2 separate regions of the Mus musculus genome follow, and region 2 is reported to be linked to region 1. The links are microRNA targets in miRTarBase. Many come from high-throughput screens and were not tested one by one. Region 1 holds a microRNA gene; the other region holds the end of a gene's coding sequence.
The links. Region 1 holds the annotated microRNA mmu-miR-495-3p (AAACAAACAUGGUGCACUUCUU, at 3,775-3,796, opposite strand). A microRNA usually pairs through its seed, bases 2 to 8, with sites in the 3' UTR of a target mRNA and lowers its output. Matches are read on the target gene's strand: a 7mer-m8 pairs with bases 2 to 8, a 7mer-A1 pairs with bases 2 to 7 and ends in A, and an 8mer does both.

Region 1 (7,121 bases):
AGGCTGTGGAACCCATCTCTCCCTTTGTTCTCTGGGTGGGGGAAGACTGGAATAACCTGCTTTGTCCTAGGGGGCACTTTGTATTCAGAAACATCCCAGAACCACTTGAGATACTGAAAATGTGGGTGTTACCTCTATGATTAACCAGAGGCATAGAGGAGCACTCACCTTTTGAATATCAGAAAGTGAGCGACAGAAGTGTATCTAGAGCCCACCGTACAGTTAAACATAGCCCTGGTTGTCACACAGCCTAGTAGGGAGTTACTGTAAACCCCCACCCCCTCTTAGAGAGTTTATGACAAGAAATCTGTTCCCTTGTGATTTCCAAAACCAGTTCCACACCCATACAGCCCATCCTGGGTACCCTTGGGAGAGATGTCATCAAGGTGGCTGCTGGGGCATCCACGTAGGTGCCACGGAGCACTGGAGACATCAAGGAAGTTTTCTAGGAAATGGGCTAAGTCCAGAAGGCTCCAACACACAGGCTCAATGCATTAGTGTGACACTGTTGGGGATAGGTATAAAAGACACCTTGAGACATGGCTAAGCAGGACATTCATGACTTACTATCACCACACTACCAGGTCCTTACAAGATTAGCTCAAGTTCCTGTCCAATCTTTTTTGAGTACATCAGACACAGAGGCATACCAGTACCGACACTATAAATCTTTGGTTAAAAAAAAAAAAAAAAAAAAAAGCAAAGAAGGACTGAAAACCCCAACTCAGCTAATTAACTCCAACATCTTCGTCATCTTAGCCTTGAGGCCGAAGACAAGTAGGCCAGGTGATAGTCCCCACACATAGAACATATGCTCTGTGACCAGCCCTCCCATATATGTCCAAATAGTGGTGCTGTCATGGGTCATGTTTTAATAAAGTAGGAACTGGCCAGAGAGTTTCATAAAGCTGGGTAACCAAAGACAAGAGGACCCAAGGATGCTGAGGCCTCGCCCCAAAGAGCCAAGGCCCCTCCTTGTATCTACAGCTTGTTAAAGCAGAAAACCTCACAAACACCTTCAAGTGCATGGATAGGTCACTTACCAGTGGGCTACACCTGCTTCCTTTCATAGTGCCCTATGAGGCCAGGAGACCCTAGAAAGAAGCAGGACAGAATTCGTTAGGGGATCTGATAGCTGGTTACGGGAGCAAATGTGTTCATCTGTCCTGACCCTAGGAGCAGCAACGGCAAATGTAGCTGTGTGTGAACTGGGTCTGCTCTTTAGGAACAATGTCCAGCTACGTTTAGGTTCATGTGTGTGTGTGTGTGTGTGTGTGTGTGTGTGTGTGTGTGTGTGTGCGCGCGCGTGTGGTGGTGCCAGTATGCTTGCTTTGCCTATGTGTAGAGGTAGGAGATCAAGGTCTGTTGCCTTCTGTAGTCTCACTATCCATGCGTGCATGTGTATGCATGTGGGCACACCCAAGGAGGCAAGAAGAATACATCCCTAAAGCTAAACTTGTAGCCATCCAGTCTAGGTGCTGGGAACTGAACTATGGTCCTCTGCAAGAGCAACAGTTTTGAGCTGGTTATGGTAACATACCTTTGATGCCAGCGTTTGGAAGGCAGAGGCAAGCAGGAGTTCAAAGTCAGCCTCAGCTACCTAAGAAATTCAAAGGTATCCTGGGTTACAATGAAAACTTGCTACAAAAAAAATGTTATCGAAAATTGTTATATTAAATGAGTTATACAAAAAAATCAATATGGGTGCCACATATTCATAGAGATTCCCACCTTCATCTTGCTCTCATCATTTTTCATTTGATATTTGAGCTTGTCCGTTTGGTTAGATCCAGGCGAACCTGGGAAGGGCAGAGTATATTCTTTAAAATTCTCAAAATCTGAAATGCAGGCTAGACATGTTTTTGCTCAAATCTGTCAATCAATTAAGAAGGAAGCGATGTGATAGAAACTAGATTTTTATGTACAGATTTGCCTTGGGAAATTGGATTATAGGATGATTCATTCAATAAACTCTCAAGTCTCAAAATAAGAAAATAAATAAACAAAAGCACTTGCCATCTGGCCAGACATCTGCTCACATACCATCAGCAAGGGGCTGATGCCCACATCGTGTTCCTGAACCTGACACCGGGTACAGAGAGCCCTTCAAGGAGGGATTTTGTGCTCAAAAAGAGGTCAGCGTTTAATATCTTCCACGAACAAACACCATGATGTGGACACTGTCCCTTGGGGCCTCTTGGAACAGCTGCGGCAATCCTGCCCAGGCTTCTCCTGTGAAAAAGACAGCTGGTGAGGTATTGTGCCCAGAGAATATTCTACCCTCAAAGATGGAAGGCTCCCTCTGGGCCTATACGTACCTGGGATGTAGGGGTGAATAGCAGCCCTTAGAAGCCTGCCAATAAAGCACAAAGCTAAATGTGAAATGGAACTGAACAAGTCCGGTTACCTTGGGATGACCACCAGAGGCATTTCTGTCCAGGTGTCCTTTGCATTCCTTGGATGAATCCAAGACAAACTCCCCTCCAGAAGTTTGTGGGCCTAGGGGCCTTGGGCTGGGTGGCAGGTGTCACAGATATAATGTATGGCGTGCTCACTGCTCCACCAGCACCGAGGCCAGTACCCACTAGATGGAAAGGGATTTTCAACCTAAGAAAATGGGTTGACCATGCTTGTTCCATGCCCCTTAGCCTTTCTCCATGGGTATAAAGGGAGAGTTGCTGCTTTTCCAAAGGTGTTTCCATCTTTTATAGGCAGAAGCCAAAACACAGGTACAGCCACAGCCCAAGGGCATCACTGAGCCAGTAGAAACTAAGAGCTAAGTGTGTGGCTAATCCTGGTACCTCTTAGATGGAGTTTGCACTGGGTTTTGATGCGCTATGGTTGTTGAGCCACGTAAGTATAAACAAAGCTTTTATTCCAACTTGAGCAAAGAAAGAAATAGCTAGTATCCTAGCAAAGGGTTGCCTAAGAGTGATCCCATATCTTGTACTGGCTCAGCTTCGGAAACCCTCCAGGGGAGATGGATGGATGAGGTGTTCTCATACTCTCTGGATTGTATCCTCCCTCCCACTCTCACAAGAGAGCCACCAAAGGGCCCTGCTCAAACAACCACACTCAAAGGCAATTTTGATGCCATGAGGAGGCTACCAGAGAATGTTAGCCATAAAGAGAAGTTCACTAGGGAAAAGGGGTCTGAAGTGCCGCCTTACATCTACCACTCCAGAGGGCAGGGGTACCAGTATCAGAGATAAGAGACAGGCAGCAGTGGCTGATGACAGCTTGCTGTTCCCTGGTCCCAATCGTAGCCAGCACCCACCAGTCCTCAAGGCCTTGCTAATGGCATCAAAGAGCACAGCCCGTAGACATGGCAGGATGCTGGTAAAGAGCTGATCTGGGGCCCAGGCTTTTCTAGAGTCATAGTGTTATGTGACACTCACCAACTGACATATCTTGGTAAAGACACCTGCAGCTGACATCTAGACACATGTCTCCAGAAGGAATTGGTGGTTTGGCTTGTATTGGCTGTTTGATTAAATTGCTATTGTTTGGATTTTATAATTTTCTGGGCTTCTCTTATCTGAACTCCATCCTACAACAGAGCCTAAAAGTGCGCTTCCTGGTTTCCCTTACTGACTGTGCCTGTCCCAGGAGGTGGGCATTCTGGACCTAACAATGCACAGAGCCAAGAGGGGCAGGTGAAATTGTGCTTCTTTGAGGTAAATGCCCCTGTGCACATGGTGACCCAAACCCCCTGGCCTCCCGTCCTCCCTCTGGTCCATGGGGAGCTCTCCAAGGTGAGATTTGATATCGAAAAAGAAGTGCACCATGTTTGTTTCGTCACAAATAAAAGCGAAAAATAACATGGGCAACTTCTTTTCAGGTACCACGGCTGAGCTCTTGCTTGTTCCAGCAGTGTGCCTGAGTGTGAAGGGATGCTGAGGGACAGGCGGAAGGAAGGGATGGTGGGTGAGGCAGATACTTGGCCGGGAGGGGGACAGGGATGGGGGTCCTGAGGCAAGGGGAGTGGCTCAGTACTCATCACTGCCATAGCAATCCAGCCCAAACCCCCTCTACCTCAGGATCTCAGGAAGACCTGGGACGAAGACTGAAGATTCTGAGATGTTGCCTACCATCCTTGCCAGTCATTCTGAAGTGTCACTCGGGGGAAATGGGATGGTGCCAAACTCCAAGACAGAATCTCCTCTCTCAGTTCCAGGATCCTCTTCTGAAGCTGAGAAAAAAAAAAAAAGTCAAAGAACTAGGTGGCAAAATCCAGGGCAGCCTAAACCAGCTGTGTGAGTGCCTGGATGATGCCCTCTGAGGTCCCCCCTCTCCCGCACCCAGAAGTGACTTACGATGTAGACAAATACAACAAAGAGCTCACAGGGTACTGGGAAGCAGAAGAACAGGTTGAAATGGGAGGCTCCAGGATTCTGAGCGTGTGAGATGTCTGGGGATGCAATGTCCGTTCATCATCTTGCGGCTGTCCTGAACGGGACATATGACCGACCCTTCCCTGAAAACAAAACGCATTGATTAGTGTGTGTTACCGTTACTGGAAGGTTACAACACTACAGCAATATATCTGAACCACAAAGGAAAGTGACTTGGTACCAACTACCTACCTTAGACTGGACAATGGGAATAATGAGCAAGAGAACATACCATCCAAAGAATGCCAGTTACACTCATTGACAGGCCACTCAACAAGGAGCCATCCATTCCTCTCATAGTAAGGAAAGGCCCACCTCAAGCTGACTTACACACAAAGGAGGCATCCAGGCTAATATAACTTAAAGGTACAGTGACGTGTTGAGCTTCAAGGAGTGTCGGATGCAGGTCCCAGATTGTACTGTTACTCAAATGTCCCATGGTTCCTCTGGGACAGGCACTTCCCCCTCTGTCTAAACAGCCCTGGGTACTGTCCTCTTGAATTCTAGCTGGCCTTCAAACTCAGGGAACAGTGAGATCCACTCAGACATCTCTCACAGAAATGAAGACTCATTCCCCTCCCAGAAGTCTCAGCAAACATCTCCCTGTGGGCTAAGGTCTCATCTAGGAATCAATAATGTCTGGTCAACTGGTTCCTTTGACACTGTGTTGTGGAGGAGGGAGGAGGGAGCAGGAGCCAACCAACCCAAACCCATTCTCATTAAGAAAGGTCAGAGGACCATTCAAGAAGGGAGATAAACTCACACAACCCAGGCTCACTACATAGACTACTTTCCTAGACTAACATGGCTTCCCTGAAGTCAGTAAGTAGTTGAACCCCCGAAGTCTTCAACGTAGAATAGGATGCTGAAAAAGAAGTGCACCGCGAATGTTTCGTCACATATAAAGCGAAAAACACGCGGGCAACTTCTCATTAAGCACCGTACGTCAGCAGCATGGAACCCTGTGTACCACTTGTGTACCGCTGTCGTCACTTCCTGTGGCTTGAGTACCGCTGTCGTCACTTCCTGTGCGTGAGCAGGCGATCACGCTGCAGCCCCGCTGTACCTAGGGGGCTCTCACAGCTGTGCCCGCTCCACGCAGGCAGAATCAGGATCTTGTAGACAGGCTTTGGATTGGTCATCCTTTGGGGAGGTCTTTGGAGTCTCCTCAAACATCAGAGAATGATATAATAATCCTGACTTTGCTTCCCAAAGTCCAGCTCTGGATCCGTGACAAGAGAGGAGGTGGGTCCCGTGACCTCTCAGTCGAGGTCACCACCCATCTGCTAGAGGGGAGGACATCAACCTATGTTCCACGGTGGAGGCCCTGATGCAAGGAGGTTATCATGAAATGGGAAACAAAAAGATATCTGAGCCTTTGTCAGAACGAGACAATGTCTCCTGGACAAAAATATATGTAAGTGGCATGTGGTGTTCTGAGAACAGATTCTGTTGACCCTCCACTTGCTGGGAAATGGAACATTGAGATTAAAAAAAAAAAAGAACATGAATAAAGATAGACTTCTTAGGTGTTCCAGGTAGATAGTTGGTTGCCTATGCTTGTACACATGTTCTCTCCCTCATGACATGGCTACAGGGCACCTCCCCACCCTTCATTGGCTTGACCAATGAAACATGAGCAGAATCACAGTAGTTCCTAATCTCAGTCGGAGAGTTCCTACTTACTTTCTATGTCTCTGCCATGGCTGCAAGAACCACTTGCCAGGAGCCTGGAGGAGGGGCAAGGAAGCCACCTTCACCCCCAGGGTAGCAATACATCAGGAGGTCGTCCTAGGTATGGAAGGCATACTCAGCATTAGTAAAGAAGGACACACATGAAAATATAATATATTCTTTCAGACAGAACACCATGACATACCTTTTCCATTGATGAGGACTCTGGTGTCCTTCCCTAAGGAGATGTCATATCTGAAATACATCTCCTAGTCAGGTACTTGTGCTGGGAAGCAGCCAATGATTTGAATCCTCAGAAGACAAGCAAAATTGAACAGACATGGAGATGAGCAAGAACAACGAAGCCTATGCCATAAGTGACAGATGTGGGCTTGATGCTGGGCTAGAGAGACCTGTCACTCACCCACCAGGAGAAATGTGCCCCAGCTTGGGATATAGCTTCACATTCAGGGGATCCTCCAGGATGGCGTTGTTTACTGCAAAGATACAGGATCATAAAATGAAAGTCACGCCCATGGTAGCCCCCCCCCAACACACACACACACACACACACACACACTCTCTCTCTTGAACACATATATGTACACACACAAGCAGAAAAAGGATCCCCCTTAAAAGCTAACTCTGCTTGAAATATTTTAGTTTCACGCTGGCCTCAACCCCACCAACATCTTCTTCATAGCTGCCGTGTGCACCAAGGTGTCTTCCCACAGATGGTCTGGGTGTTGGTGGATAGTAAAACGGGTGACCTACAGCATAAATGAAGTGTACGTCACCGGTCTACCATCCACACAGCTACCCCGAGAACAGTGGGCATCATTGTCCCTTCAGTCACGATGCTGGCACGTCCTTATAGCTACTGTGAGGAGGACCTTGCTGAAAAGCCATCACACACCAAGAGTCACCTCACAGTCCAAAGCCATAGGGAGTAGCCTCAGGCCACCACGGGGACCCTGTCCCTTCTTCAAATGACTTTCCTTCCAGGGCTGAGTCCTGATGCCATACTCCCATGTCCCATGTCCCAGAGTCCAG
Region 2 (7,120 bases), not on the chromosome of region 1:
TATTCCCCATCATCCATCTGTAACCAGATTCCCCAGCTTGCATTACTGTCTCCCCCTCTTCTCTTTCTCTCCCCCTCTCTCTTTGTGCTTTTTTCCCCCTTTTCTTTCTTTCTTTTTTTCTCCCTGCTAGGGCCCCTGAGTTTGGGTAGCGTCGAACCATGGGGCTTATGATGTCAAGAATTAGCACAGATTTGCCTAGTGATGGACTCTCACAAACACAAATTCTTTCCACTGGCCTCTTAGGAGATTGCGTTTGGTGAGTCATAAAATCTTGGGGTCTTTTAGCCCTTGGAATGCTACAATTCTTGGCTCAGCAGGGCCCAGAGTATATGTGCTAGCTCTTAGATGGTTTCTGGCCTTTCCTTGTTGCTTGCCTTCCCTTCCCTATGCCATACCCCCTTTTTCCAGCAGGGGGAGCCAGGCCCTCGAGGAACAGGGAGCCCCAGGTGCCTTTGCTCATCTGCTGTCACCTCAGTTTGGGTAGTGGGTAGGCTCAGGAGACTTGAGGGTCAGGTTTACCTAGAAGGTCCACCCAGCCCTAGTTTGGCCCACCAGGCCAGGTATTGAGCGAGCATGTCTGCGCTGTGGTGTTGGGGCGTTGGGGTCTCCACAGGGTGGTCCCGGCTGGGACGCAGGGCCCCTGTGAAGTATTAGGTTCCTGATTCTTCCCGGATCAGCTTTCCCGAAGCAGTCGTCCTGCTGTGAACTTAACTCAGCTGGACTCTGGGGCTTCGGGGGTCTTTTTGATTTTTCTGAAACCCTAACCCAGTCTGGGCACATTCCTGAGGGTTCGTCCTGCCTTCTCCACTGTCAGGGTCTTAGTTTGTGTCTGGGCTTTGGGCATCTTATCTGATATGAGGCTCCACCCTAAGCGCTGCTCAGTACACTCGGTGCAGATTGTTACAGGGTTGTGGGTGGGAGGCGGGAGGAGGCGGAGCAGGGGGCCCTCCGGGGCGGGCAGGAATCTCCCACTGTTCAGATGGGGAATTCTGACTCAGGGAGGCATGGTGGAGCCCTGGAATCCTCAATTCGACATGCAGTAGTGGGTAAGGTGCTTATCCTATGGGTGATTACAAGCACTTGCAAACACACGTTCAGTCAGCAGGCTGTAGGTGTTAGGATTGGCTGGGTTCCCCCCACCCCCCTTGAGAGCCATGTTCCTCACTAGCGAAGAGGGGGCAGGGAGATTTTGGCACTTGGCATAGGGTAATCTGTTCAGATATTAGTCCTTGAGGCTTCAATCGCCTGAGGCCAGCTTGCTGGGTGGGGGTCGGGGACTCTCTGAACCCACTTTGGCCCAAGTCCTTTCTTGAGGCCAACACCCCAACACTGGTTTCTCTGTGGGAAAAGCTGACTGGGGCCAAGCTCGCTCTCCAGCCAGTTTTGTGGTAACAGTCACTGGCTGGGAATCTGAGGCAAGGCTGGCTGGCTGGTGGTGTATGCCCATGTGTGGACATCATAGCTACAACCAGAAGCAGATGGGCTGAGGGTGTAGCTCAGTTGGTAGAGCGCTTGCTTCCCAAGCACAAAGACCCCGGCTTCCCGACCCTAGCACTGCAAAACCAGACGTGGTGGTGTGCGCCTGTAATCCCAGCCCTTGGGAGGTAGAGCGAGGAGGATCGGACGTTCAATAGTGGTCATCCCTGACTGCACAGTGAGTTTGGGGTCAGACTGGGATATATGAGACTCTTTCAAAATAAAAAGAGATGAATCAGGGAACACAAAGCCAAGCTCCTCTCTCCCAGGCTGCGGAAGTGGAGTCGGGTTTGTCCGTGTTGGAAAGTAAATGGCAGAGTCTGGGCTCTCTTGGAGTCCCGAGGGCTCTTCCAGGGGCTTGCTGGAAGCTCCTCTTTTGATTTGATGGCTGAAACTGACTCTTTTTTTTTTCTAGAACACTGGTTCTCAACCTGTGGGTCGTGACCACTTTGGGAGTTGAATGACTCCATTCTCAGGGGTTGTCTAAGTCCACTGGAAAACACAGATATTTACATCATGATTCATAACAATAGCCAAGTTACAGTTATAAAGTAGCAATGAAAACATTTTTATGAGCTAGGTGGTAGTGGCGCACCCCTTTAACCCCAGCACCTAGAAGGCAGAGGGAGGTGGATCTCTGTGAGTTCAAGGCCAGCCTGGTCTACAGAGTGAGTTCCAGAACAGCCAGGGCTACACAGAGAAACCCTGTCTCAAAAAGCCAAATCAAACCACAACAAATGGTTGGGGGTCACCACACCGTGAGGAATTGTGTTAAAGGGTTGCAGCATTGGGAAGGTTGAGAACCACTGCTCTATAATCTAATGGTAGTCCTACTAATCTCTGCTTGGTAGCCTCTGTGGCTGGACCTTAATTCCATGCCCTACACTCACACCAACTCATGCCCCACAACACCTCCAGATGTTTTTGCGCTGCACTGTTGAAGCTGCTACGTTTTGGAGTGACCTTTCTCTCAGCCTGTAGCCTCCCCCTGAAAGCCCACCCTGATAGCCCATCCCATCTGGTTTTCTCTTGCCTCATACGCCAGAGCTGGATTCCTTTGTTTTCTGCGCCTAAGTGACCATGTTCGGGTGGACCCTGGTGCGGGGAAGCCAAGGCTTGTGGCCCTTTCTGGAGCCGTGGCCCTGAACCAGTGTTTTACTTTGCGGGACCGAGGTGGACAAAGGGTTTTCCAGGCCTGCAGCACCCAGCCTAATGCTCCTGTTTTATAGATGAGAAGCTATGGCCCAGTGAGGAACAGTCTCTCCTGGGGCCCGTGGCCCTAGTTAGTGACAGAAGTAGGTTACATCTTGTCTTTTGAGTGCATTTGCACCTCTCCCTGCCAAAGGTCTTCCTCTGGGAACTGTCCCTGGAAATGACAGGCACCTGGAGAAGCAAGGGTGGCATTGGGGTGGGTGGTGGTCTCCGGTGGGAGTCCTTCAGCAAGGGGTGGGATCTATGAGGGGGTGCAATGTTAGTGAGTGCCCACAAGGGGGCAGCATAGACCTCTCAGCCATAGAGAAGGTGGGCGCTCTGGATACTGGAAAGGGTGGACTTGAGGCCCAGCTGGTAAGTAGATTGTATAAGTGTTCTCTGCTACTCTTGTGTCTGCTCAGAAGCAGTGGGTCTAGCACTAAGGATGTCACTATTGACCATAACTTCTTTCCTAGAGATAAGGTCTTATGTGGCCCAGGCTGGCTTTGAACTCACTAAGTAGCTAAGGATGCCACTGATCTTCTAACCCTCCTGCCTCCATTTCTTGAGTACCGAGTTTACAGTCATATATTACCATATCCGGTTTATGCAGTGCTGGGGGGTGGAACCGAGTGCTTTGTGCATGCCAGGCAAGCGTGCTACCAACCTACCAGCAAGACACCTTCAATACCGGCTCAGGAACAGGCCTGTTGATTGCCACTAACAGCCCATTGTGAGACTTCTGGGGTGGGTGGCACAGCTCCGTCATACTTAACTTGGCCCCGAGTGGCTCTTCCAGGCACACTCTCCCAGAGCAGCTGGCCCCACTTCCATGGTGCCCTGGCCCAGGTTCACAAAACAGCTTTCTTTCCTCAAGAAACAAGCTTGGGCTGAACAGCCGGAAGCGGTTCCTGATGCTGGGCAGGTGGGAGCTAGTGCTTGGGGGGGCTGGGAGTGGGGAGATGGATGGGGGGTGGAGCCAGGAAGGGATTAGTAACTAGGCAGCAGATAGCTCCAAGCTGTGTGCCCATGTGAGCGGGCAGCCTAAGTGGAAGGCGCTTGGCAGCAGGGCCTACCACTCCCTGCTGAGCATTGAGGAGTGGGGGGAGGACGATGTCTTGTAGTTGAGAAGTGAGCAGGGCCTACACTCAGGACTGCCACAGTGACGGTGTCTGTTTGGTACCCTGAAGAGGAGACAGAAGGTCTGGATAGCACCCGTATTCTGGAAGTAGACATGTAGAGTCCTACGGCTTTACACGAATACTTTGGGCACTAGAGGGTGGATGGGCAGATGAGCTGGCTAGAAGACGCCAGCCTAGTGGCTTAAGGCAGGAAGCCATCTGACGGAAACACTGACTGCCAGGCCTCGTGGGGCTCTGGGGTGGTGGGAGGTGGGCTGGGGAGACAGTTAATCTGCAGAGCATCAGAGAAGCTCCCACCAGAAGGTGACCTTGTGTGCTGGGACAGCTGCCATCCGCGCTGGGTGTCTTTGGGCCATTAAGGGATGGCCAACGGGCCGCTGTTTGCTGCTTTGTGGGAAACTTGCCAATACTTGCCCTGTGTCCAGGCCCGCTGTCCCTACCCCAGGGACAAGCTTCCTCTCTAATCCCTTCCTTCCCTCTGCTCCCGGGTTGAGAATAGGTGAAGGACAGATGACAGGCTGAGCCACGATGGTTTTGCTCACTGCAGGGTCTTTTGCTGGTGGCCTGTGGCCTCAATCTTCCCCCATGGATAGGCTCCTCAAAGATGCTCACCAGACAAAGGAAATGGTCCTGAGATGAGCTGTCTCTGGGATACCCCTTCCTCTTCTAACAGTCTTATCTGCAGCACACACACTTCCTGCCTCCTTCTCCTCCTCTTCCTTCTCTTCCTCCTTCTCCTCCTCCACACAAAAGAACTACTCACAGTAAGTCCGAGCCCTTAGCACAGGAGACAGCATTGTGTGGGGGAGGGGGTTACATTTGTGGCTGAATGGGGTCCACGGGCCACCACTTCTAACGTGGCTTACTTAGCCAGGCACTGTACACGCAACGCAGAGCTGAGCCAACCCAGTGCCTACGCTTCTCTGCCTGTGCTTCTGATGACCCTAGGCTAAGAAGGCTACATGAGCTTCTTTGTTTGTTTGTTTGATTGCCTCCATGAGTTTCCTCAGCCTGGGCCTTTTGGATCCTGAGGGGCAGGGGGAAGAGTCCCTTGCAAGAGCATTAAAGTCATTTGGCAGGTCCCAAAGGTGCCAGGATCTTTTTCTTGGAACTTACAGAGTACAGGGGTCATTTTATAACTAAAGCATTTATTTCCATTCAATTCACTAACCGATTGTTCTGCTCGGATTCCCTGCATTTGCTCACAGGGGAGCCTGCGGCCAGACCCCTTGACTGATGATGGTGTTCCTCTGGCCAAGACCTTCAGACCCAGGCAAAGGCCTCGGGGAAAGAAGGAGTGGGAGAGAGACAGAGAGAGACAGAGAGAGAGAGAGACAGAGAGAGAGAGAGAGAGAGAGAGACAGAGAGAGAGAGAGACAGAGAGAGAGAGAGAGTCACGTGGTCTCCCGGGGTACCCTTGGAGGGCTGGGGTGTCACAGTGAATGATCAGGGTCCTGACTTCCCGGGTAGCCTGGTCCAGGCTCCCAGACATGAAATCGAGTTTTGGCCATTGAAGAGCACCCAGGAACCTGAAGGGGCCTCTGTGCCTGGGAAGTGCCAGATAGAACAGGGCGGAGAGCATGAGAGCAGACAGGGAGGAAGGGAGGACTTCCGGCCTTGGAGCCCTCATCTGCCTCCGTCTGTGGTCCAGTGTGGGCGCTGATGTAGTTCCCTCCACTCTCCCAGTCCCACTGAGGTCTCTGAGTGGCCCAGGTGGCCCTGTGACAGTTGGCTTTGGTGAGGCCTGGCAGCAGGTGGGAGGAGGGAAGGGTATCAATGAAAAGCATATAAAAAAATCCAGAAATGTGCATATAAAATCTCGCCCTTGGTGTATTGCCTAAGTCAGTAAGCAGAAAGCACCTTCTTCCTGGAGAAGGATCAAGTCCTCAAAAGGTAGGAAATGTCAAAGTGTCTCTTCATTGTCATTTTTTTTTAAAAAAACCCAACAAACAAAACCCTCCCAGACCAAAACCACCCCTGATCAAAATACCCCCGGTCCACGGAATCGCTGTAAACAAACCCAGATGCAAGAGTATGCTTCTCTGTGGCAGTCGAGGCTGATGACAGTCACCTGCCTCCTCGTCCTCTGGCTGAGGCTGATCAGGAGCAGGGCCTTGTGGGGCTGCAGACCTGGGTGGCTGTCCTCAGGAAGATCTAGCCTGTTTGGCGTGACCTGGGAGGCCAGGAGCTCCTCTTCCGCCTCCTGAACCATTAGCAGAAAGTCTCTCGGAGTTTTTGGAAACCGTCTCCCAAGACAGAACAACTATCCTCCTGTCTGCCGGTGGCAGCTGGAATGGACTTCCCCGGAGCCTATCTGGGGCGACTGCCTGTCTCTCTGCCCCTTGTGCCTGGGGGCTGGGCCATTAGTGATGCTCCAAGAAACGGCTAAGGCCAGGCAAGGAGGGTGGCTCACCTCTTCCCTTCATGTTAATGTTCCTGGAAGTGTTTCTTGGCTCTGGCCAGCTCAACCTTCCCAGAAGGAGTTGGAGAGAAAATGCTTTTTGGCCTTCACGGGGACAGGCCATGTGGATCTCCCAAGCCTTTTGCTTTTCTCCTCTAAGAACCGTCACTTCCCTTATGAGAATCCTCTTGGAACGAACGTCTCTTGCCTGTCCCGCCCCCTCCCAGATCTAGGTGCGTGTCCCCCCCACCCAATCCCCTTTTCCTTCCTTTGACTTGCATGGGCTCTTGGTGACGGCTTGGCTGGAGTGCTGCTTGGTTCTTCCTGTTGTCTGTGGCCTCCTGGCAGGTGGCTGACCTTGTAGTGGACAGAGCAGCAGGGGGACCGATGTAGGGGGGCTCAGGGGGCGGCGTGGAGGAAGAGGAGAACCGAGGCAGGCGAATGTCAAACCTCTACAGACTGGATCTGGTTCATCTGGGCCCGCATCACCTGGATACTGTTCAGGATTTTTTTCTGGTGGCCAGCTAGAGTGACCCCAACGCGGAGAATGTCCCTTTGGGAGAGATAGACATAACTAGGAAAATGTATGTGTTGGGGGGGGGGTCATGGGCCAGCAGCCTAAACTTCCCCAGGCCCTTAGTGAGGGATGGGGAAGGGGTGTGGGGATGGGCATTGGGTGTCAAAGAGAGAGTAGAGATTCGGGGGTCCCAACAGTCAATGGGGAGGCAGGAGGCCATGTTTCTCCTGCCACCAGGAAGCGGGGAGGGGTTATATTGGCCATGTAACCATTGGCCATGTAACCATTTCCTTGAATCTCCTTCACTAAGCCCTGGTTTATAGATGAAAAATCTTCCCAGACTCTGGGATTTGCCCCGGAGGCACCAGGCAGATCCGGCTACAGATCTGAATA

Region 2: miRTarBase lists Ephb2 as a target of mmu-miR-495-3p. Seed matches in the 3' UTR shown: 7mer-m8 at 5,823-5,829 and 7mer-m8 at 5,754-5,760.

The regions. Positions count from the first base shown.
Region 1 is chr12:109,715,470-109,722,590 of GRCm38, reverse strand. Mir495 (microRNA 495) reads right to left here and starts at 3,837; the gene lies at 3,775-3,837. Mir679 (microRNA 679) reads right to left here and starts at 7,014; the gene lies at 6,941-7,014. Mir1193 (microRNA 1193) reads right to left here and starts at 6,920; the gene lies at 6,800-6,920. It overlaps Mir666 (microRNA 666), which reads right to left and starts at 5,506; the gene lies at 5,408-5,506. It also overlaps Mir543 and Mir667.
Region 2 is chr4:136,648,668-136,655,787 of GRCm38, forward strand. It overlaps Ephb2 (Eph receptor B2), which reads right to left. Exons shown (of 16, transcript NM_010142.4): 16 at 1-6,763. The coding sequence ends at 6,655. Among named protein-coding and RNA genes, the nearest start is that of Lactbl1, 30 kb to the left of the region's middle.